Linked DNA regions of Macaca fascicularis. The protein of the gene in region 3 interacts with the protein of the main gene of each other region in a pairwise test. Links are inferred from orthologs where the notes say so. Each region holds a gene or a part of one and is shown on either strand. Other genes may lie near its edges.

The links.
Region 1: the proteins of DAB1 (region 3) and MBNL1 interact in binary tests that used the Homo sapiens proteins (3 or more experiments, as listed by UniProt). The link is inferred for Macaca fascicularis from reciprocal best matches to the Homo sapiens genes DAB1 and MBNL1.
Region 2: the proteins of DAB1 (region 3) and CLASRP interact in a two-hybrid assay, tested with the Homo sapiens proteins (2 studies listed by BioGRID and IntAct). The link is inferred for Macaca fascicularis from reciprocal best matches to the Homo sapiens genes DAB1 and CLASRP.
Region 4: the proteins of DAB1 (region 3) and LNX1 interact in binary tests that used the Homo sapiens proteins (3 or more experiments, as listed by UniProt). The link is inferred for Macaca fascicularis from reciprocal best matches to the Homo sapiens genes DAB1 and LNX1.
Region 5: the proteins of DAB1 (region 3) and VENTX interact in binary tests that used the Homo sapiens proteins (3 or more experiments, as listed by UniProt). The two-hybrid records come from large-scale screens. The link is inferred for Macaca fascicularis from reciprocal best matches to the Homo sapiens genes DAB1 and VENTX.

What each region holds. Positions count from the first base shown.
Region 1 is NC_088376.1:55,377,905-55,381,415, forward strand, and holds part of MBNL1 (muscleblind-like protein 1), read left to right. Parts: intron 1-1,552; coding exon 1,553-1,753; intron 1,754-3,511. UniProt on the Homo sapiens protein: Mediates pre-mRNA alternative splicing regulation. Acts either as activator or repressor of splicing on specific pre-mRNA targets. Inhibits cardiac troponin-T (TNNT2) pre-mRNA exon inclusion but induces insulin receptor (IR) pre-mRNA exon inclusion in muscle.
Region 2 is NC_088393.1:53,079,234-53,083,390, reverse strand, and holds the start of CLASRP (CLK4-associating serine/arginine rich protein), read right to left. Parts: upstream 2,803-4,157; 5' UTR 2,750-2,802; intron 1,711-2,749; exon of another isoform or gene 1,677-1,710; 5' UTR 1,648-1,676; coding exon 1,549-1,647; intron 1-1,548. UniProt on the Homo sapiens protein: Probably functions as an alternative splicing regulator. May regulate the mRNA splicing of genes such as CLK1. May act by regulating members of the CLK kinase family.
Region 3 is NC_088375.1:176,441,359-176,445,299, forward strand, and holds the start of DAB1 (disabled homolog 1), read left to right. Parts: upstream 1-1,136; 5' UTR 1,137-1,397; intron 1,398-3,941. UniProt on the Homo sapiens protein: Signaling adapter of the reelin-mediated signaling pathway, which regulates the migration and differentiation of postmitotic neurons during brain development.
Region 4 is NC_088379.1:80,251,434-80,255,719, reverse strand, and holds the start of LNX1 (E3 ubiquitin-protein ligase LNX), read right to left. Parts: upstream 2,804-4,286; 5' UTR 2,494-2,803; intron 1-2,493.
Region 5 is NC_088383.1:142,308,072-142,312,227, reverse strand, and holds the start of VENTX (homeobox protein VENTX), read right to left. Parts: upstream 2,803-4,156; 5' UTR 2,374-2,802; coding exon 2,133-2,373; intron 887-2,132; exon of another isoform or gene 730-886; coding exon of another isoform or gene 690-729; intron 575-689; coding exon 414-574; intron 333-413; coding exon 1-332. UniProt on the Homo sapiens protein: May be involved in ventralization.

The DNA.
Region 1 (3,511 bases), on a different chromosome or scaffold from region 3:
AGTTATTAATACATTATAATGTCTCTTTTATTCTAAAAAATGTTCTGTAATTCTGTTCATTACTACTGAGTAAAGAAAATAAATTGTTAAATATTACCTTAAAGAGGCTGGGCTCGGTGGCTCAGGCCTGTAATCTCAGCACTTTGGGAGGCCAAAGTGGGCAGATCATGAGGTCAGGAGATTGAGACCATCCTGGCTAACATGATGAAACCCCGTCTCTACTAAAAATACAAAAAATTAGCCAGGCATGGTGGCAGGCACCTGTAGTCCCAGCTACTAGGGAGGCTGAGGCAGGAGAATGGCATGAACCCGGGAGGTGGAGCTTGCAGTGAGCCAAGATTGCACCACTGCACTCTAGCTGGGGCAACAGAGCAAGGCTCCGTCTCAAAAAAAAAAAAAAAAAAAAAAAAATTACCTTAAAGAACAGCATCCGTTTTGCCTACAAGCTTTTGTGTTTCAGAAACAAGCATTATTACATGAAGCATTAAACTTCGAGAACTAGAATTGAGAGTCTGTTAGGAAGTTAAAAATGTACTATCCATAAGATATGAAATTGTTTGTGTTCTGTTATACTTTAAACACTAGAAAAACAAATTGTTAGATTTCAGGTAAATTAATGCTATTCAAGAACAAATATATTTTATGATATGCAAGTTTGCATATCAACAAATAGAAACAATCCTTGTGTATCCATGAAAGCATTTCTGGAAGAAATTCTGTCTTGTAGCAGTTTATTCAGTTCTGCCATATGTATTTCCTTGACTAATCATGTAGCATTTCCTTAGTAGCAGTTCTACTTCAGACTTCACATTTTAGACGTGTTTTCCCTTAGTAAGGTATGATAGACTAGTGGAACATTTATAATTTCCCCCAGAAAAATCACCATCAAGTAAGTATACCAAACACTTTATCTTATGTGCTCAGAAGACAAGGTGTCATCATCACCTTTCCCAAACCCATGAGATTTATTTACAGCTTACATTGACTGTGAAACTCTTTTATCCCCTGGGAGTTCTACTGTATTTATTCCAGATCATAGGACACTTGCAACCTATTAACAGTGGTAAACAGGTCTTTCAAGTACATCTGACATAGCAATTACAAAATGTATTTCTTAGACAAATATCTAGAATTAAGTCAGGGCAAAGATGAAGATTAGGTGACCACAAGGAGTTTCTGCCTAGTTTATCTATTTTTCAAAAAAAAAAAAATTACAAGTATTATAGACCCCCCAGGTTCAAAATTCCAGTGAATAATTTAATGGATATTTTACCTGTTATATTTTAGAAAAACATTGATTTGATGAGTGCTTATTTAATAAAACAGCCTTACCCTAAATGATAGTAAATGAACACAGGATTAAAGGGAAGAAGGCAAGGGAGGAAGAATGGATAGATGGATGGAGGACAAATGGTAAATGAACACAGGATTAAAGGGAAGAAGGGAAGGAAGGAAGAGTTGATAGATGGATGGAGGACAAATGTATAATTAAGAATAATCAACTTTGAGCTGAGACCTGCTTGTTAAATTTTGCTTTTATTTTATTTTTCAGCCAATGTTTTCAGTTGCACCAAGCTTAGCCACCAATGCATCAGCAGCCTTTAATCCCTATCTGGGACCTGTTTCTCCAAGCCTGGTCCCAGCAGAGATCTTGCCGACTGCACCAATGTTGGTTACAGGGAATCCGGGTGTCCCTGTACCTGCAGCTGCTGCAGCTGCTGCACAGAAATTAATGCGAACAGACAGACTTGAGGTAGGAATGACTAGTTGGTGTCTTTATGTAATACATTCTAATTCTCCAAGTGTATTTTTTTGTTTGTTTGTGTTTCCATGGCCAAAAAGTTGTAAAAATTTTAAAACAGAGATTTTGGCTTAGGGTTTGGAACATTTTACTAGAGTATAGATATGCTGTATTTGATTAATGTAATGTTTATAAAGGCTACAACATCCATGTTTAGAATAGTGGATAAGAAGTTGGACCCTAAAGTCAGATTGCCTGGTTATATCACTGTACCTCAATTTCCTCATCTTTAAAACGGCACTTACCTCAAAGAGTTAGGGGAATATCTGGCACATAAGCAAATGCCTCCTGAGTGTTTGTTGTTGTTGCAACTATCAAGAATAACAAACGTTATCAATCCCCTAAAAATTTCTCATAAAGATTTACAAATATTAGTGTCTGTAAAACATTTTACAATTTATTATTGCAAGTTTTCTCATAAGCTGTACAATATTTTGGTTGAAGTAGAAAGGAAACTTTGTTTATGAAGTGTGCTTTCATAAAAGTTTTTTGCATAATCCTCTTAAGTTCTAGAGTAAAGGATGATCAGATGCATGGGCTCCGCTGTTGGTACATGAAAAAGATATTAAAGTTATAAATCTTACTTCAATGTGGTTGTTCAGAATTTCAACATGACTGTGAATTAATGAATTTGGTAAATTATAGATGTAGAGAAAAAGTGACAGCATCAAATGTACATTGAAGATACAAACCTGTCATTGAACCCACCTAAAGAATAAAATGACTTTTTCCTCTTTTCCCTGGTGAGGATGAGGTGATATATTTTTTTAACTTACATTTTAGGTTCAGGGGTACATGTGCAGGTTTTTATATAGGTAAACTTTATACCATTGGGGTTTGGTGTAGAGATTATTTCATCACCCAGGTAATAAGCACAATACCCAATAGGTATTTTTTTCTGATCCTCTCCCCCCTCCCACCAACCACCCTCAAATAGGCCCTAACATCTGCTGTTTCCCTCTTTGTGTCCATGAGGTCTCATCATTTAGCCCCCACTTACAAGTGAGAACATGTGGTATGTGGTTTCCTGTTTCTGTATTAGTTTGCTTCAGATAATGGCCTCCAGCTCAATCTATGTTGCTGCAAAGGACGTGATCTCATTCTTTTTTATGTCTGCATAGTATTCCATAGTGTATATATACCACATTTTCTTTATCCAGGCTACCATTGATGGACACTTAGGTTGATTCCTTGTTTTTGCTGTTGTGAGTAGTGCTGCAGTGAATATACACATGTGTGTCTTTATGGTAGAACGATTTATATTCCTTGGGTAAATACCCAGTAATGGGATTACTGGGTCAAATGATTTCTGTTTTTAGGTCTTTGAGGAATTGCCACACTGTTTTCCACAACGGTTGAATTAATTTGCACTCCCACCAGCAGTGTATAATTGTTTCTATTTCTTTGCAACCTTACCAACATTCATTATTTTTTGAGTTTTTAATAATAGACATTTTAACTGGCGTGAGATGGTATCTGGTGGTTTTGATTTGCATTTCTCTAATATTAGTGATAATGGACATTTTTCATATACTTATTGGCCACTTGTGTATCTTTCTTTGAAAAGCATCTGTTTATGTCCTTCACCCACTTTGTAATAGGGTTGTTTTTTGCTCATAAATTTAAGTTCCTTACAGATTCTAGATATTAGACCTTTGTGGAATACGTAGTTTGTAAATATTTTCTCCCATTCTGTAGGCTGTTTATTCC
Region 2 (4,157 bases), on a different chromosome or scaffold from region 3:
CACCCACCTCGGCCTTCCAAAATGCTGGGATTACAGGCATGAGCCTCCACACCAGGCCCATGTATGTGTATCTTAAGTGTGTTAAATTCCACAAAGGGGAAGGAAAGGGAGCTACAATTACGGCATCTTTAGAGGACACCTGACTGAGCTCGGGAAACAAGACTGCTCTGAGGACTGAGATCTGACAGATGAGCAGTAGTTAACCAGGTATGGGAAGAGCTCATACAAAGGTCCTGTGGCTGGGGAGTGCTTGGGTCAGTGGAGGAATAGCAAGGAGGCCAAAATGACTTGTGCAAAGGAACAAGGCAGTGTGGGGTGGTGTGAGTCTGGAGGAGGGGCAAAGACCAGGCCATGCAGGACCCTAAAGGCCACAGTGAGGAGCCTAGGCTTTCTCTCAAGGGTACTTAGAAGCCATAGAGGTGCTGTGAGCAAGAAAGGGACAGGGTCAGTTTTGCGCTTTAGAAAGGCCTCTTGGACTCTTCTAGGGAGGACAGACTGGAGGAGCCAGGACTGGAGGCCAGCGGACCAGAGAGGAGGCTGGGGCAGTAATACAGGAGCAAATGGAAAATGTCTATATAAATGTCATCTGACAGGAAAACTGAACCTAGTAAACAGGTGCCATTTCAAGCTGGGATCCCAAGGAGACAGAGGAGTTAAACAGGTGAGGAGGGGGTAATACAGGCCAAAGCCCCGTGGTGGCAGAAATAGAAGGCCAGTGGAGCTGTCCAAGGATGAAGCTCAGTGGTCAGACCACAAGGGTCTTTTAGGCCAGGGATAGTTTGGTCTTCCCCCCAAAACAACTGAAGCATCAAACAGGAGAGGGAAGTGGTCAGGTTTCACTTAATATTCACTCCTTTTTTTTTTTTCCTTTTTTTTGAGACAGAATCTAGCTCTGTCACCCAGGCTGGAGTGCAGTGGCGCCATCTCCGTGCACTGCAGCTTCCCCCTCCCAGGCTAAGCAATTCTCGTGCCTCAGCCTCCCGAGTAGCTGGGACTACATGCACACACCACTAAGCCTGGCTAATTTATGTATCTTTAGTAGAGACGGGATTTCACCATTTTTGCCAGGCTGGTCTCAAACTCGTGACCTCAGGTGATCTGCCCACCTCGGCCTCCCAAAGTGCTGGGATTACAGGTGTGAGCCACCGTGCCCAGCCAACTTAATACTCACTCCTATTGTGTGCCAAGCCAAACCTCAAGAGTGGCTGAGCTCTTCTGGGAATGGGGAACCCAGCAACAAGCAAAACAGACAACGTTCTGGAGGTGGCCAGTCTAACGTCAGGACTGCTCTGAGGATTACAGAGACTTCCCTTTTTCTTGCTAACACCAGATCGGCACTGGGAGGCCACACCAAACGACACAGTATGTTACAACAAACAGAAGCTCTTGGGATCCTAACAATGACTATGCTCAAGAAAAGATTAATGAATATACTCCTGAGGAAATAAGCCTCTTGTCTTGACATACTTCCAAGCCCAGATTTTACCAGGATGACCTGTGTCCCCCAAACTAGGGTCCCCCACCCCAGACGAAAGGCCAGTTACTCACGATCTTTTCATAATACTCCCGTCTCCGCTCCGCCCTCTTCTTGTAGTCGACCATCATGCCTCGAAGTTTCCGCTCATGCTTCCGAGCCTCGTGCCACATTGTGGTGAGGCCAAGCCTGGGGCCTCAACCTGAGGGATGAAGGGACCAGGAAAGGAAGATGGGCTGTGAAAACCATATGGGCAGAATCAAAGTCATCTAACAAGTTGGTGACAGAGTCGATCCCAAACAACACATCGCTTAGCTTCAGGGAGCAGAAGTGAAGCTGCAGAACGGTATGCCAGATGTTCAAGTCCATCCCTAACAACTTCGATCTGGCAACTTGGGCATTCTAAAAAACCCTTAGGTGATTCTGAGGTGAGCATCCCTGGGAAAGGGGTGTCCTACATTCCATGCGCTGGAGTCGGGGATGAAAGTTTTGAAACATCAGTAGGGTCAGTAGTTTGAAGTAGGGTCAGACGGCAAACCCTGAGCACCTAAGGCTGGAGCTCAAGAGAAAGAGAAGAGCTGAAAAGGCTCCCACTAGGGGCCATGCGTGGGTATGAGTCTGGGTGCTAGAGGGATAAGGAAGGTAAGGATGAAGGCAGGTGGAGGAAATCGGAGAAAGCCTTTAAGGGAACAGTGCAGTTGCATGAAGGTGGAGGTCGAGGACAGGTGAAGGGCGTGGCGGAAAATGAAGATGCTAGAGGGAGTAGGAACACGGGAAGAGAGTGTTGCAAGGAGACCAGAGTGAAGTTGAGGTCTAAAGATGGGATCTAGATGGCAGGGTGTGGAGAGTACCCAAGGAAAAAGAGGGTAGAGCTTGAGAGAGGCGGAGTTGGCTGACGGGAGGGCGTGGGCTGAGCTTGGGGGCAGGGCTTGTGGGAAAGGGAGGAGACCGAAGGTTTGGACAGGGCTTGTGGATCGCGTCGCGGCCTGAGGATTTGGGCTGGATTGTTTTTTTTGGGTTTTTTTTTGACATGGGGGCGGGGACTGTGATAAGCTGTTGGCCGAAGGCCGAGTCCGACGCGGCAACTTCTGGCCCACAGCCGGGGCACGGGCGCGGCCTGAGGCCCGTCAGGCCGAATGGGGTGAGGGACGAGCGATCCTCGGGGCCGGGACGCAGCAGAAGCCTACAGCAGTATGGGAAAAGCCTAAGGAAAGGGAGAAGCTGGGCTGACGCCTGCCCGAAAACCGGGAGGTCGAGCCCGCCGCCTGCACTCACCGGCTGGTCTCCGCCTCCCAAAGCTGCGCTCGCGCGCTGCCCGCACAGGAAGCGGAAATGAAAGGCCGCGCTAGGGAGAGGGGGCGGAGCGTGGTGGAGCTCTGCACAGCGCAGTTCCGCCGACGTGAGGGGCGGGTCCTAGGGTTGAGAGGGGCGGGGTCAGAGGAAGAAGCGGTAGAACCGAGAAGGGAAGAGCTTGGATGCTTTATCTTTTTTAATTTTATTTATTTATTTTTATTTTTATTTATTTTTTTTTTGGATTGCAAAAATTTATTAAAATTGGAGACACTGTTTTAATCTTCTTGTGCCATGAGACTCCATCAGGCTGTCTACAAAGACCATTGGGAGGCTGAGGATCACTTGAGCCCAGACGTCTGAGGCTGTAGTAAGCTTCAGAGGGCCACTGCACTCCAGCTTGGGTGAGGAAAGACCCTGTCTTTCAAGCGGTAAGCTGCATGCTTGCTTGCTGTGGTCATTAAAAACCCTAGTTTAGGATAACAGGTCTGCCTGTTTGAAGATGAAAAATAATCCCATTTAAAATTTGCCCTACTCCATTTCCTTTTCAGTCACATTTCAACTTTTAAACAGCTAATCACTCCCATCTACAGATTAAGATGTATATGCCACTAAAACCTTTTGCCACCTTAAAAATTTCCTTGAGGCCGGGCGCGGTGGCTCAAGCCTGTAATCCCAGCACTTTGGGAGGCCGAGACGAGTGGATCACGAGGTCAGGAGATCGAGACCATCCTGGCAAACACGGTGAAACCCCGTCTCTACTAAAAAATACAAAAAAACTAGCTGGGCGAGGTGGCGGGCGCCTGTAGTCCCAGCTACTCGGGAGGCTGAGGCAGGAGAATGGCGTAAACCCGGGAGGCGGAGCTTGCAGTGAGCTGAGATCCAGCCACTGCACTCCAGCCTGGGCGACAGAGCCAGACTCCATCTCAAAAAAAAAAAAAAATTTCCTTGAAAGTTTAAACTAACCTGCATTTCTTCAAGCATGAAATCTGAGTCCTGAAATTAAGGGACAATACACAGTAAGACAACTTGCATACAATTAAGGGTAACCCAAAATCTCCAAACACTATAGAATGACTATATTCCCCTTTTCAGGGCATAAACTAGAATGTTACAGCCATCTTTTTATCTTTTTTATTTTATTTTATTTTTTTTTCTGAGACGGAGTCTGTCTTTGTCGCCCAGGCTAGAGTGGCGCGATCTAGGCTCACTGCAACCTTTGCCTCCTGGGTTCAAGCAATTCTCCCACCTCAGCCTCCCGAGTAGCTGGGACTACAGGCATGCGCCACCATGCCCGGCTAATTTTTGTATTTTTTGTAGAGACTAGGTTTCGTCTTTTTGCCCAGGCTGATCTCAAACTCGTGAGCTCAAGCGATCCTCCCGCCTTGGCCTC
Region 3 (3,941 bases):
TACATTCTAGCCACACTTCCTTCCTCCTGCTATTCAAACACATTCAACCTGTTCCTTCTTCAGGGCCTTGGCACTTGTTCTCACTATTTCTAATGACTGGTTCCTTATCATACAGACCTCAGATCAGTGGTCATGTGCTTAGAGGGCTGTTTCCCAAACGCCCAGCCTGATGTCCTACCCCAGTCATTTTCTATCACATGTCGTCATCTACTTAAATTTTGGTCAATAGTGATAATTACTATCCAATAGCTTCTTGCTGATTTACTTGTTTATTTTCCGCCTTACTAGAGAGCAGGTTACAAGAGAATAAAAATTACTTGTCTGTGTTCTTTTGAATGTTCTGCCCGTCTCCATAAAGTAGAGGTTGGCTCATAGTAAGCACACAAAAATATTTATTGATGAGTGAATTGTTACTGATATATAATTACCTCAAGAAGGGCAGACCTGCGTCAGATGAAGGAAGAAAAACTCATGTTTTGCTATCACTTACCATGTGTCAAGCTCTGTGCTTGTCTCATGTGATTATCACAATTCTATGAGACATATGGTTCCCATTTTGTAGATGAAGAAATGGAAGCTCAATCATTTGGTCGTTTGATAAGACCACACAGATACAACCGAAACCCTGGTCTGTCTGCTTCAGTGCCCACACACTTGATTGTGGGGTGTGCATAACATGTCTCAGGGGTTTATGTACCTGCAGGAGAGTGTGTGTCTGCTGCTGCAAAATCTTGCACCTGTGAACACCGCAAGAAGGAGGAGGCTGTGTAAAAGCACATGCAGGCCAAGACCCTAGAGGCAGCTCAGAGAGGGCTCTCCCTAGTAAATCACTTTTGCTTAACCCGAAGCCCATACTTCCCAGGGGAGCAGACACTGAGCACCGCAAACGGTGAAGACTGCAGAATGGCTGCAAGTTGTAGACCTCACTGTGACCGTAGCAGAGAAGGGAGTCTGCGAGTGGGTGCTGAGGTCCTTCCCACTCAGAGCTCACATTCAGGCCAGGTCGGTCAGGCCGCGCCACCTCTTCGGGCAACAGCATTCCGCGCTAGGTAGCGAAATGCTGAGGGGCTCCCCTATTCGGGGGAATGCGGTAGTGATGTATAAGGTATGAAAGATGTGGCCTGCAGAGAGCCGGCACTATCTCTACTGCTGCTGCTGCTGCTTCTGCTGTTGCTGCCGCTGCCTCTGCTGCCACCACCACTACTGCTGCCAGCGGAGCTGCTGGGAGTGAGCATCCCCTCTCCGGGATACCCAGCTCCGCGGCATCTCCCGCGCGCCCTGGCCCCACACGGACCTGCCAGCCCCAGGGAACAAAAGCGGAGCCCGCTCGTCCTCTACTGCAGCCGGAGGATGAGTCGAGAGGGCTGAGCGGAGAGTGTGGTCCTCGGCGGCTGGAGGTAGGAAAAGATGTTGCGCCCGCCGCGGCGTGGGAGGCTCGAGGTGGGCGCGCCGGGGTAGGGGCGGCCGCGGGGGCCCATCCGTCCAGTGGGCGCTGCCCGCACCCGGCGAGGTGGTGGTCTGCAACGCTGCGCCCGCACTGCCCACTGTGGGTTGGGCGCCGCGGTCTCGCGGCCGCGAGAGAGCCTCCTGGGTGGGAACTGGAGGCAGCAGGGGAAAAGTCTGGAGCCAGAAGCCAGGCAACGGCTGCCGCGGCGGCTGCGGAGGGCTGCCCGCGGCGCTTGGCGGCGCGCGTCTCACCGCGCAGAGTGGGCAGGCGGCGGCTGCAGTGTGCGCAAAGTTTTGGGTGGCGCGCAAAGGCGCAGGCGAGGGCTGCCGCACCGAGCCGGCCAAGTTGTGGCCGGAGCGCCAGGGCGACCCTCGGGCTTCCCCCACCACGCGGAATCGCCCGAGCCAAGCGGCTCTTGCTCCCTGACACCCCAGCTGAGGCCGAGTTGACGCGCAGCCATTTAACCCTTTCTGTTCCGAGGAAACAACTTCATCCGCGTCGACGACTGGACTCGGGCTAGCTGGGTAGCCTTGAGGTTCCCGGCAGGTTCAGTCCTTCTGTGATCTTGCGCATTTCCTCGCTCAGTCCGCGTTTTCATTTCTTTTTTGTCCACTTCTGTATCTAGAAACCAGGCAAGCTGGCCAGGGGTCTTACCCAAAGTCTGTAATTTTAACCCTCGCGCCATCTGGACGCATGCTTTCTTTCTGCCCTCTCAGCTTGGCTCTTTGATGCTGCTTTGAAAAATAAGATGATTAATCAATTAGGTTAGTGGCCAATTAGGCATAACCTTGTAGGAAAATAATTATGCCCGGCTCTCTGGGCTTTCACTGATGATGAGGTGGGAATCCAGCCCAGGTGGAGGGGCTGTTCCGAAAAGATAGGGCTGATCAGGGAATTTCTGAGAATTTAAGATTAAAAAGATCCAACTATGTGGTGGTGGCTGAGGTTGTGGGGGTGCAGTAGGAGTTTGTGTGTGTGTGTACCAATTTTTGCCGATAAAATTAACCCTTGGCAGCACAGTATGGGTGGACTTTGCAGGCAGCCTGTTTCGAACAGCTCAGAAAAGGTGTGTCCCCTTGCTTTCCAAGCCCCCTCCTCTCCTCTCTTTCAGAGGGGCTCTTGCCTGTAAATCGCCTTGCTGTGTTTTTGCTTCCGCTTTGGGAGGCTGAGTTCCAATGAATGCATTTTAGTTTCGTGTCCGAGGAATCGCGTCGTTGCAGACCGAGGTTCCTTACTGTGCCTTCCGAGGATGCACATTTCCCGTGATCATGTTAAATACAGCGGTTATTAAATGGGTGCAAAAGAAAGACAATCTGTTTCCAGGCCTGGGAAGTTCTGCTGCAGAGCGGGGCTTCCTTTTGCTTTTGGAATGACTGGTGGGGTTTGGCACTGCAGTATTACAATACAGCCATATTAAAAAGGTCTTCAGAGCTTGGAGCCCTCTACCACTGCAGCCCCATCTTCCACACACTTCCCTGCCCAAATCCTTCGTGCAGGGAACATGTAGTGAATTTCGTACCTGCACCATGTGCATTTGAACCTCTTTCTGTCTCTATTTTAAGCTGCTTCTATCTCTTTATACATTCGGATGCTAGATAGTAGATTTCTGTTAAGATTCTGTTCAAAATCTAGAGGTGTTCCCAGGGCAGAGGGATTTTTGCAACAGGTCCTAGGTCTGGGTTTTCTAATAATAGATCTCCCTGGCATTTAGTGACATGGGGCCCCAGTCTCTCCACCAGTGACCTGACAAGGGTTGGACCAAGGGATCTCTGAAATCCCCTGCAGTGCTGACATTAGCTGGTTCTGAATTTTATGGCTTTTTCTTTTTCTCAGCTGAGCGGAAGGAGTAGCTGGAGCAGTACACGCAATGTGACAGCAACAGTGCCACCTCGCTCCTAGTGGAAAGGAATGGGGGCTGGCCAGGGCTTATTGGCAAATAGGGATTTCCCAGCTGGAAGACTGCCTGGTGATACTGGTGTGCAGGGACAACTGGGAGCCACAGGATTCACCCGCCTCCCTCAAAATGAATGGCCACCATTCAGCACTCTCTCTTTGACAAGATTTTTCTTTTCTTGAATCTGGACTCAGCTAGTTGCCTTACAGTGACCACATTTGTGGATCAGATTCTTGTGCAAGCAAAAGCCTTGCTCCTTTTTAAAAATGGAATCTTTTGTACATACCGGGAAGGGATGCAGAGTGAGAATAGAGGGAGAGAAGAAAGAAGAGAGGGGAAGAGGCAAAGGAAGGAGTGAGTGGGGGGCAGAGCTAAGAGATATAGAGAGACAGAGATAGCTTAAGTCTTCAAATGCAACCAGACAGTGGGAAAGAGGAAGCAGAGACAGAGAACTAGGTTGGGGGTTGGGGGTTGGGGAGGTTGGTGGTGAGGAGAAGAAGGGAGAGATGCAGGAAGGGAAAGAAAAGCAGCGAGGGAAATACTAGCCCTAAGAGGGAGCGATTAGAGCCCACATGAAGCAAGACCAGTCTTACCATCTAG
Region 4 (4,286 bases), on a different chromosome or scaffold from region 3:
TCTCTGCCCATTTAGGATTCCCCTTGGGTATCTCCTCTGTGCCCACCCAGTCTGAGCTAGGTGCCCTCTGATGGCAGGCTGTGTAGGCTCTCATTGCACTTGGCCACATGGAATGGAAATTTATGGCTTGTCTGCTTCCCACAGTGGACTGGGAGTTCCTTGAGGGTGGTGACTAAGGTTTTAAATCTCTATGTCCCACCCTAACCAAGCACCAGTTACCTTGTAAGTGCTTCATATCTGTTGTTAAGTAAATGAATAATGGAGAACCTAGACAAGGACTTGACAGAGAAGCAAAAGGAACAGTGACTGCCCAAATAGTACTTTTCACCCCTGGAAATGTTGTTACTACCCCGAGCATACAGTGAGCAGTCCACATCCATATAGATCAGCAGACCAAGTGGAATAGAATGAATGGAATGAGCCTGGCTTCTTCAGGCCTGATGCTGAGGACATGTGCCCTACCTGTATGGAGGAGATAGCTCTATCCCCCTCCAAAGACAGTGACAACACAGGTACATACACAAATGTATAGCATGTGTCACAGTCCTTAAAGACATTACATAGGGCTGAGCAAAGTAGGCACCTGTGCGCGTGTGGAGGACATATGGTAGCTCCAGAATTCCAGGAGCCAGCTCAGGGCGGCCCAGAACAAAGCGTCAGGGTGCGGAGGGCGTCTGCATGGGGCAGGGGACAGTGTCATGATGGCAGTTGATGACATTTGGGGGATTGAGTGAATAAGCATATAATATATTAAGGATAATGGGAGCCAGCTTCTGATGAATGTTAGAGAAGGGAGTTACAAATGTAGAAAGGGAGTGTTGGATTGGAATTGGAAGTATGAATTGGAAGTATGAATTGGCAGTATGAATTTATGGCTTTCAATACATATAGATTAATATAGAAATAAATAGATACGTAAATAGAGGAGGAAACTGGGATTCAAAATTAGATCTGTCTAGCTCTTTTCACTGATCTATACTACCGCCCTACACATAGGGCCTCTGCTGTGAAACCTCTGCCCCCTTCCCTGTCCCCCCAGAACCCCAACCCTAACTCACACAGACTTAAAAGATTCCACCCTCGTGGTTCCAGAGCATGCATCACATCTCATGTCATTAGCTGCACACAACTAACTCATGACGTTTTGATTACACTGAGGGTAGGCCTCCTCTTATCTGTATTCCCTGCATCTCCCTTGGAGCCAGGCACATGGTCATCACACTAGTTAGTATTAATATTTATTGTGCAGTTGTTATGCATCAGGAAAGACTTCCCATACATAATCATTCACAGCTGAAGACAACCTTATGAGGGATGTATTACCATCATTCTCATTTTACATATTGGCAAGGTGAGGTTAGCGGTGTTAACTGAGGTACTCCAAGATGCAGAGCTAGTGGGAAGTAGAACCAAGAGTCAAGGCCAGACAGTCTAATTCCTCAGGCTGTGCTCCTTGCCCCTCAGCTCTGCCACCATGGACTTGGTGTAAGTAAATGTTCACTCAACAAATTCCTCCCGGGGGATTTGTGTATCTGAATGCTCTCCCTCAATCCAAGTCCACTCTTTATGCTGAGCTTACTTGAAGCTCACCTCTTTAGGGAAGCCCCCCACCCCGCCATCCTACTCTGCACTGCCTCAGCATTCCTTGGGCACAGGACTTGCACCACGCCCTGACATATGAGCCAGTCAGTGTTGGAGCAGGGAACATAGTTTATCGACATTTGTTGAACTGAATTCAATGCCCAGGAATGGAAGTAAACAGGAATACATGACAAGGTGGTGTATTGTACAGGATACTGTGGCTATCTATTTCTGGATTTTCCTGAGAGTTCCAATTTCTAAAATTCCATCCTCTCATCAGACCATTTGTCAGAATACATGGCCAAGAATGTAGTCTGGAATTTTCTGTAAAGAGTAGGGTCACCATTCTACTGAAAAGAGATAGGAATGAAGACAGGATGTGCTGCTGGTCACCCACAACTCTACACATCCATGAGCAGGTCACAGCTTCTCTCAACCTCTTTATCCATGGGTAAAACTACAATGCAACACCTACTCCTACTGTGGAATGAAACAAAGTCTGTGTGTGAATGTGTTTTAAATACCGATAAAGAATATTGTCGCATAAACCCAGTTACTGTTAGTGGGATTACTTATATTTTTACTGATCTGTCTGGCAAGTCGTTTTCATTTGTCAAAGTAAATAAGCTTTGAATGAAGGCCACTGCAGAAAAAAATAGGGTATAAAGAGAGGAAATGCCAAGGCGTTTCTAGTGTTTTCAAAAAGACACACCTAGATATTTCCATCTTTTAGACTCTCCTCAGTTTGGGGGGTGTGTGTGTCTGTGTGTGTGTGTGTGTGTGAGAGAGAGAGAGAGAGAGAGAGAGAGAGAGAGAGAGAGAGAGGTGAGAACTGGGGGCTGAGTGGGCAGAGGTGACATTTTTAAAAAATGGTATGAGATTCTACCTTGTAGAGGAACTAGGCCATCTTACCTTTGCTGTATTGCGGATCAGTTCCCAGCTGTGTGAAGTCTCAGGTGATAGTCCGTTTGAGAGATGAGTTTTGCTGGCTTAGCAGTAGCTCAGGAAATTTTTCTTTCTCTTTCCAGTATTCTGTGTCCCAGCTATGCATCAAAACTGCTCCACCATTGTACATGCAGGGGTTAACCAGGGCATCCCCTGTCCCTTCTGCAAGGCTTTGGGTAGAGCAGATTCATAAAACTGAGAGCAGCTATGGAGAGCTTAGCGGGAGAGTGGTCCCCTGCAGAGCAGCATGCATTAGCATCAGTGACAAATCTATTCTGGTTTGGATGGGGCTGAGACGCCCCTGAACTTCCTTCTGCTTTTGCCAAAAGCCAAGATCCTTTTGTTCACCTTTAGGGTTGCCAAGTCAGGCCTACCTCGCCCCTAGATGTTGTTTCCTGTGGGCAATGGGAAAATGATCTTGGAGCCAGAGAAGGGAAATCAACAAGGAAATAAACACAGGGTCACCACACCTTCAGGCCATCATTAGGTCTGGAACATTATCATGCTAATAGGCAGGGGCTGCTGACTGGACAGGCCCTAGAATCCTGGGCATCTTTTATTTTTGAATATGAAAAGGGACATGCACCAAAATCTATATCAGGCAAATAAGTAGTTCTGACTTGTTCCAATACCTTGCCAAAACTTTCAAAGATTTTCTCTCGGCAGTATTGCTCATAACTGAACACTGGCTAATGTTTGTGGACAAAGAAAAAGACTGAGCAAGTTTGTGGCTGATACTACTTAAGACTCTTAACTCTAAAGATACAGAATGATTGTTTAAATAAGGATTTCTTCTGCTCATTCTTCAGCATTACCATCGCCATCATTGTCAGCCGCTGCAACATCTTTGCTAACATTTATTAAGTGCTTACTGCCTACCAGGTTCTGTAGTAATTACCTGACCTGCATTATTTAATTTAATTCTCAACAGAATCTATAATTATCACTCCCATTATATAGATAAAGAAACTGAGGATTAGAGACATTAAGTCGTTCCTGCAAAGTGACCCAGCTAGTTAAAAATGTAAACGTTGCGCTTCTGGAAGTGTGCTTTTCTGAGTTTTGCTTTTCCCACTGGTTTGCTTAAGCACTTCTGTGGGATGACAGCTCCAGTGATGGCCAAAGATTTTGCTTAAATAAGCGATAAGCTCTGGGAATTCGATTCTAAGTAGAAATGTGAATAATTAGTGAATTAAGTAGTCTCTTTCCAGAGATGTGAATCGGGAGCTCGGTGTTATCTTATGTATGTGCAACATGCAAGAAAGACACATGGAGTGCAGGTACTTGTGGCTCCCTAATTACAGGTGGTGCCGCTGGCTGCGGTGCCTTCAGCTCTCCACTGTGACTCTGATTTACAAACAAGGAAGTACACTGCAAATTCCTTGGCCTCTGTGTGCATTTTGGTCATGGCCTGATTGCCACTTTGTCCCTTTGACTTTCGGAGCCAGCTGCTACAAGTTTCTTTTAATCAATAATCCACGGAGTGAATGAGGCAAAATTGCCAACCTGGAAAATTCTGCCTGGTGAGATGAAGTCAGCACATGTATTTTCAGTCCTAAGGTCACACTTCTGACTCTTTTTGGTTCTACCCCTAATCTTTATTTTCAATTGCTAGCACTTAGCTCTCTTGTGTCATGGCGGTTACCCAGGGCAGCTGGCATCTGGTCAAACAAAAGTAAAACAGTTAATTAGGAACCAAAAGGATGCCCTCCAGTGGGCTCAAGTTTTCTGTTTTCATAAACATAAGAGTTGTGACATCA
Region 5 (4,156 bases), on a different chromosome or scaffold from region 3:
GTGGACAGGGCTGGTCCCGGTGCAGGCAGGCCACTTCCTGTGGTTGGGGGGTGGTGCGCCAGAGGTTGCCTGCAGCAGGAAGCCCCCGTACAGGCCAGGGCCTCCTGTTCCACTTGGCAGAGACCCCAGAAGGAGCCCGGGGGCAGCATCAGAGCCTGGGGCCCAGGCAGGGGTGCCCAAGGGCACAGCAGCTGCAGGCCATTGGCAAGGCCAGAAGACGGTGAGTGGAAAGCTGGGGGCACGTGGAGAGACCCCAGGAAGGGGCTGTTCGGCGGGACTTCTTGCATTTGCCGTTTGTGTTTCATCCGGCGATTCTGAAACCAGGTTTTTATCTGCAGGAAAACCAAAATCAGAGCAGGGGTGAGACTAGGCCACCGGCCCACCCTTGCCCACCTCAGCCCGGCCCGCCTCACCTGGACCTCTGAGAGCTGCATCTCCCTGGCCAGCCTCTTCCGCTCAAGAGGGCTCAGGTACTGGTGGTGCTGGAAGACGCCCTCCAAGGTGCGGACCTGGTCCGTGGTGAAGGCTGTGCGGACACGGGGGCCCCGCAAGGTATTTGGCTCCTTACTCAACCCTGGCATAGAGGGTGAGAGCATTTGGCTGAGCCTGCCACCCCATGGGGCAAGCCCCGCCCACAGGTAACAGGTGAAGACAGCATGTTGGGGGCTGGGCAGGGCAGATCTTCTCACCTGACAGTGACCAGCAGCCCTGCCGCAGCCTCCAGGTCATGTGCGTGCGGAAAGGGGCTGAGAGAGGTGACTCAGGGGAGGGAGAATGCTACCAGCAGCTTGGGCCTGCCCTCCGCTCGGCTGGCTCAGCTCACTCAGTTCGGCCCCATCCCACACTTCCCTTCCGAAGCCGGTTCCCAGGATACCCTTTCTGCAGACTTCCAGGCAGGTAAGGTAGAGTCCATTACATGCAAAGGCCTGGGGACCCACCCAGGGAACTCGGTCCCTGTCCTGGGCTCCGGCTCCTCAGCCAGCAGAGCCCGGCTCAGTTAATCCCCAGGCCCACCTTGGTCAAGTCTGTTTTCTAATTTCTAAGTTAAGGAATGGGGGCTGGCACTAAACAACCCCACAAGGTGGTGTGTGTCTGGGTCCCAGGAAGGAGGCCAACGTGGCGAAACGAGCTCAACATTTAACTCAAGTCTGACCCAAATGCTCACTGGAGTTTCTGCGGAAGGAAGCGTATTTTACAAAATCTGTCTTCACGTTAGCCTGAAAGCACATGGGAGACCCGAAAAGCAAATGCCTTGTGGCGGGGAGGGCTGTAGGACTGGGATCAGGAAGGGGGTTGGGGGACAGGAATGGTTGACTTTTTTGGGGTGGGGCAGGATAGCTAGCTGGGAAGAACATATTTAAATTTTCATTTCCCTGAAGTACAAAGTTACTCCATGAGGATCAGTCAAATTTTTAAAAATGAAAACTTATGTTAACCCCACTTTTGACCAAGTACTACCTTAAACCTAAAAGCGGCAACGATGTCACAAAGACTAAAACACAAACGCGGAGAACCTTTGTTCTCAGCAGACAACAGAGCATCTCCGGGCCACAGACCGAACTTCAGAGTTTCTGCAGGCACCGGGTCACCGCCGCCCTACAGCAAACCTGCAGGCTCTTTAAAAGACAGCTGTGCTCCAGGTGGCCTGGAAGGGGCTTGAGCCTAGATGCTGAGCAGGCACTGGCTTTGCTGGGGGCAGAGGGGGCTTGGCAAATCGTCGGACCCCTGGAACTGGGTCTCGATGGTTGCGGGGCTGGAACACTAGGGGCACAGGTGCCCACGCCCGCGCTGTGTTTCAGTGAGCGCCCGGAATCAGGGCAGAGAGGTGCGGACAGGGACCCCTTGGACGGTCCCTCGGCACCAGGCCGCGGTGGGACACAGCTGAGGAACGGGGTGCCAAGGGAGGCAGAGGAGCCCACCGAGGGCTCAAGGAGAGAAAATCCCCGTCAAGGCTTTGGTTTCGAGGGAAGCTGCGCTCCAGTGAGGCGCAGGCAAGGCCTCCGCCGGCCCTCATGGACACGTCCCCGGCCCTGTCCTCGTCCGCCCCGTACCGCGGGGAGTTCAGCCGCCGGGCTCCTGGCCTCTCCCCCACTCCCATCTCCACCTGGGAAGGACCCCCGGCCCGGACCTACCAGCCACGGTCCTCTCCGGCGCAGGCAGATCTGAGGACGTGGCGGCCTCCTTGATGCTGATGGCCTGAGGGGGCTCCCGGGCGCCGGATATCTGGCCCGGGCCAGGGAGGCTCCCCGGGGAGACGTCGGCAGGCCTGGGCGAGGGGGTCAACCCTGAGCAGCTGCTCTGGGAGAGCCAGTCCACAGAGCCAAAGCTGGAGGGCTGCTGCTGGCCACGAGGTGGGGAGGAGGAGAGGCGCATGGCGGCCAGGTGGGCCGGAGGGAAGGCCGGGCGGGGCTGGCCAGGCGCAGGATCCACCTCCGGCCTCGCCGGGCGGCGGCGTTTATAAGCCCGGGAGGAGGGGGCGGGAGCCCGGTTTGCATACACGGCTAACGCCCGGATAAGCAGCGCCTAATTGCCTTCGATTCAGAGACACAAAGGAGACCGTTCACACCTCCCCGGCTCCTCGGTGTCTGGGGCAGGGGCGGGGCTGCGGGCCCTGGTTAATGGAGAGGGGACGGTTCGGCATCGGTCACCTCCTTTCATCTCTCCCAACCCCCACCCCGCGGGCCGAGGCTGCTGGAAGGTAGGAGGGTCCCGCTCCCACTCGGGCCTGCCCTGGGCGGTGCCGGGCGACCTCTCCTCTCCAGGGGGACGCTGGCGCCTGTGCCCAGCCCGGACACCCGAGGGCGAGCAGGCTTCAGGCTGGGAGAGTCAGGGCGGACTCAGCCGGTGCCCGCGTGCGCTGCGTCCAGGCTGTGCGGTCGCGCAGGAACCGAGGGACGCTTTCCGGGAAAGACGCGGAGGGCTCGGGGAGCGGCGCGCGGGGACGGCAATGTCGGGAGGGGCCTCTCGGGGCACTCGTCCGCTTCCAGCCCTACTCCGGCTCCTCTGGGGGACTCACTCCCGGGGCCATCGCAGCAGCCTCCGCATGCGGGCGCGGGCGGCTCCCTGACCCCATCCGGAGCTGGAAGGGCCGGAGCCACTGCCTCGCGCGGCGGGGTAGACACTCCGCTTCGGCTGCGGGACTGGCGCGTCCCCGCCAAGCCGGGCTGTCCCCACTGTGGCCAGGGCGGGGGCAGAGCCGCCGGGGACTGTGGAGCCCAAACCTCACGGGGACGCCTTGAGCACGGGCTCCCGGGACGGTCATCGCGACGCGCGGCCGCTGCTCCCACGAACCTTGGTCCCGAGTTGTTTGCGTCTCCGCGTCCTGGGCGTCCCCGGGTCGCCTGCGCCGTCGGGGTGGGGCGCGGGGCCGAAGTGGCCGGGTGGGAGGCAGCCACGCCGCGAGCGTTCCCTCCGGCCTCGGACCAGCTTCCCGCGCGCCGGGACACACGGACTCGCGTTGCGCCCACGCCGAGGGTAGGACGGTGTCTTCCGCGCACTGGCTTGGGGTCCACACTGCGTCTCCGGCGGCCGGGGTTAGGCGCGGGCGCAGGTCCGAAGCCATGCGGGGTTTCGGCGCAGACGGGGTCCAGGGAGCAGCCCCGACTCCCGGCCGGGTCCTGACCGCGGTTGCCTCAGCGCCCACCCCGCTCTCCGAAATCAGAAAGACCCGCGGGCCTCGCCCCACGGTTACGCCCAACCCGGCTATCCGCGCCTCCCGGGCTGAGAAAAGAGGGAGGAGCCCGGGAGGGGGGCGCTGGGGCGGGACCTCACGGGGAACAGGTGGGTCACAGGTGACGGGGTCGGGGAACGGACTGCGCCGCTGCTGACCCTGGTCTTCCTCGGACCCTGCCGACCCAGTTAGGCCACCGGGCCCTCAAGGGGGAGGCTGGCAGGGGTGGGGCGCTGGGGGCTTTGGACGTGGCCTCGGGGGTAAAACCAGGAGGGCTGGGGGGCCAGGAAGGCGGCCTAGACCCCGTCCCCACTTCATCTCCGGAAAGACCGGGTCACCCCCGGGAGAGGGGATTTGAAGCCACTGCCCAGGACCAGCAGAGTGTTCCGGCCAGGGGCAGCGAGGGCCCAGATGCCTACGGCCACAGGGCTGGCCCCGAGGATGCCCCATGAGGCAGGTACCCAGCCCTCCCGCAGTGGGGGCGGC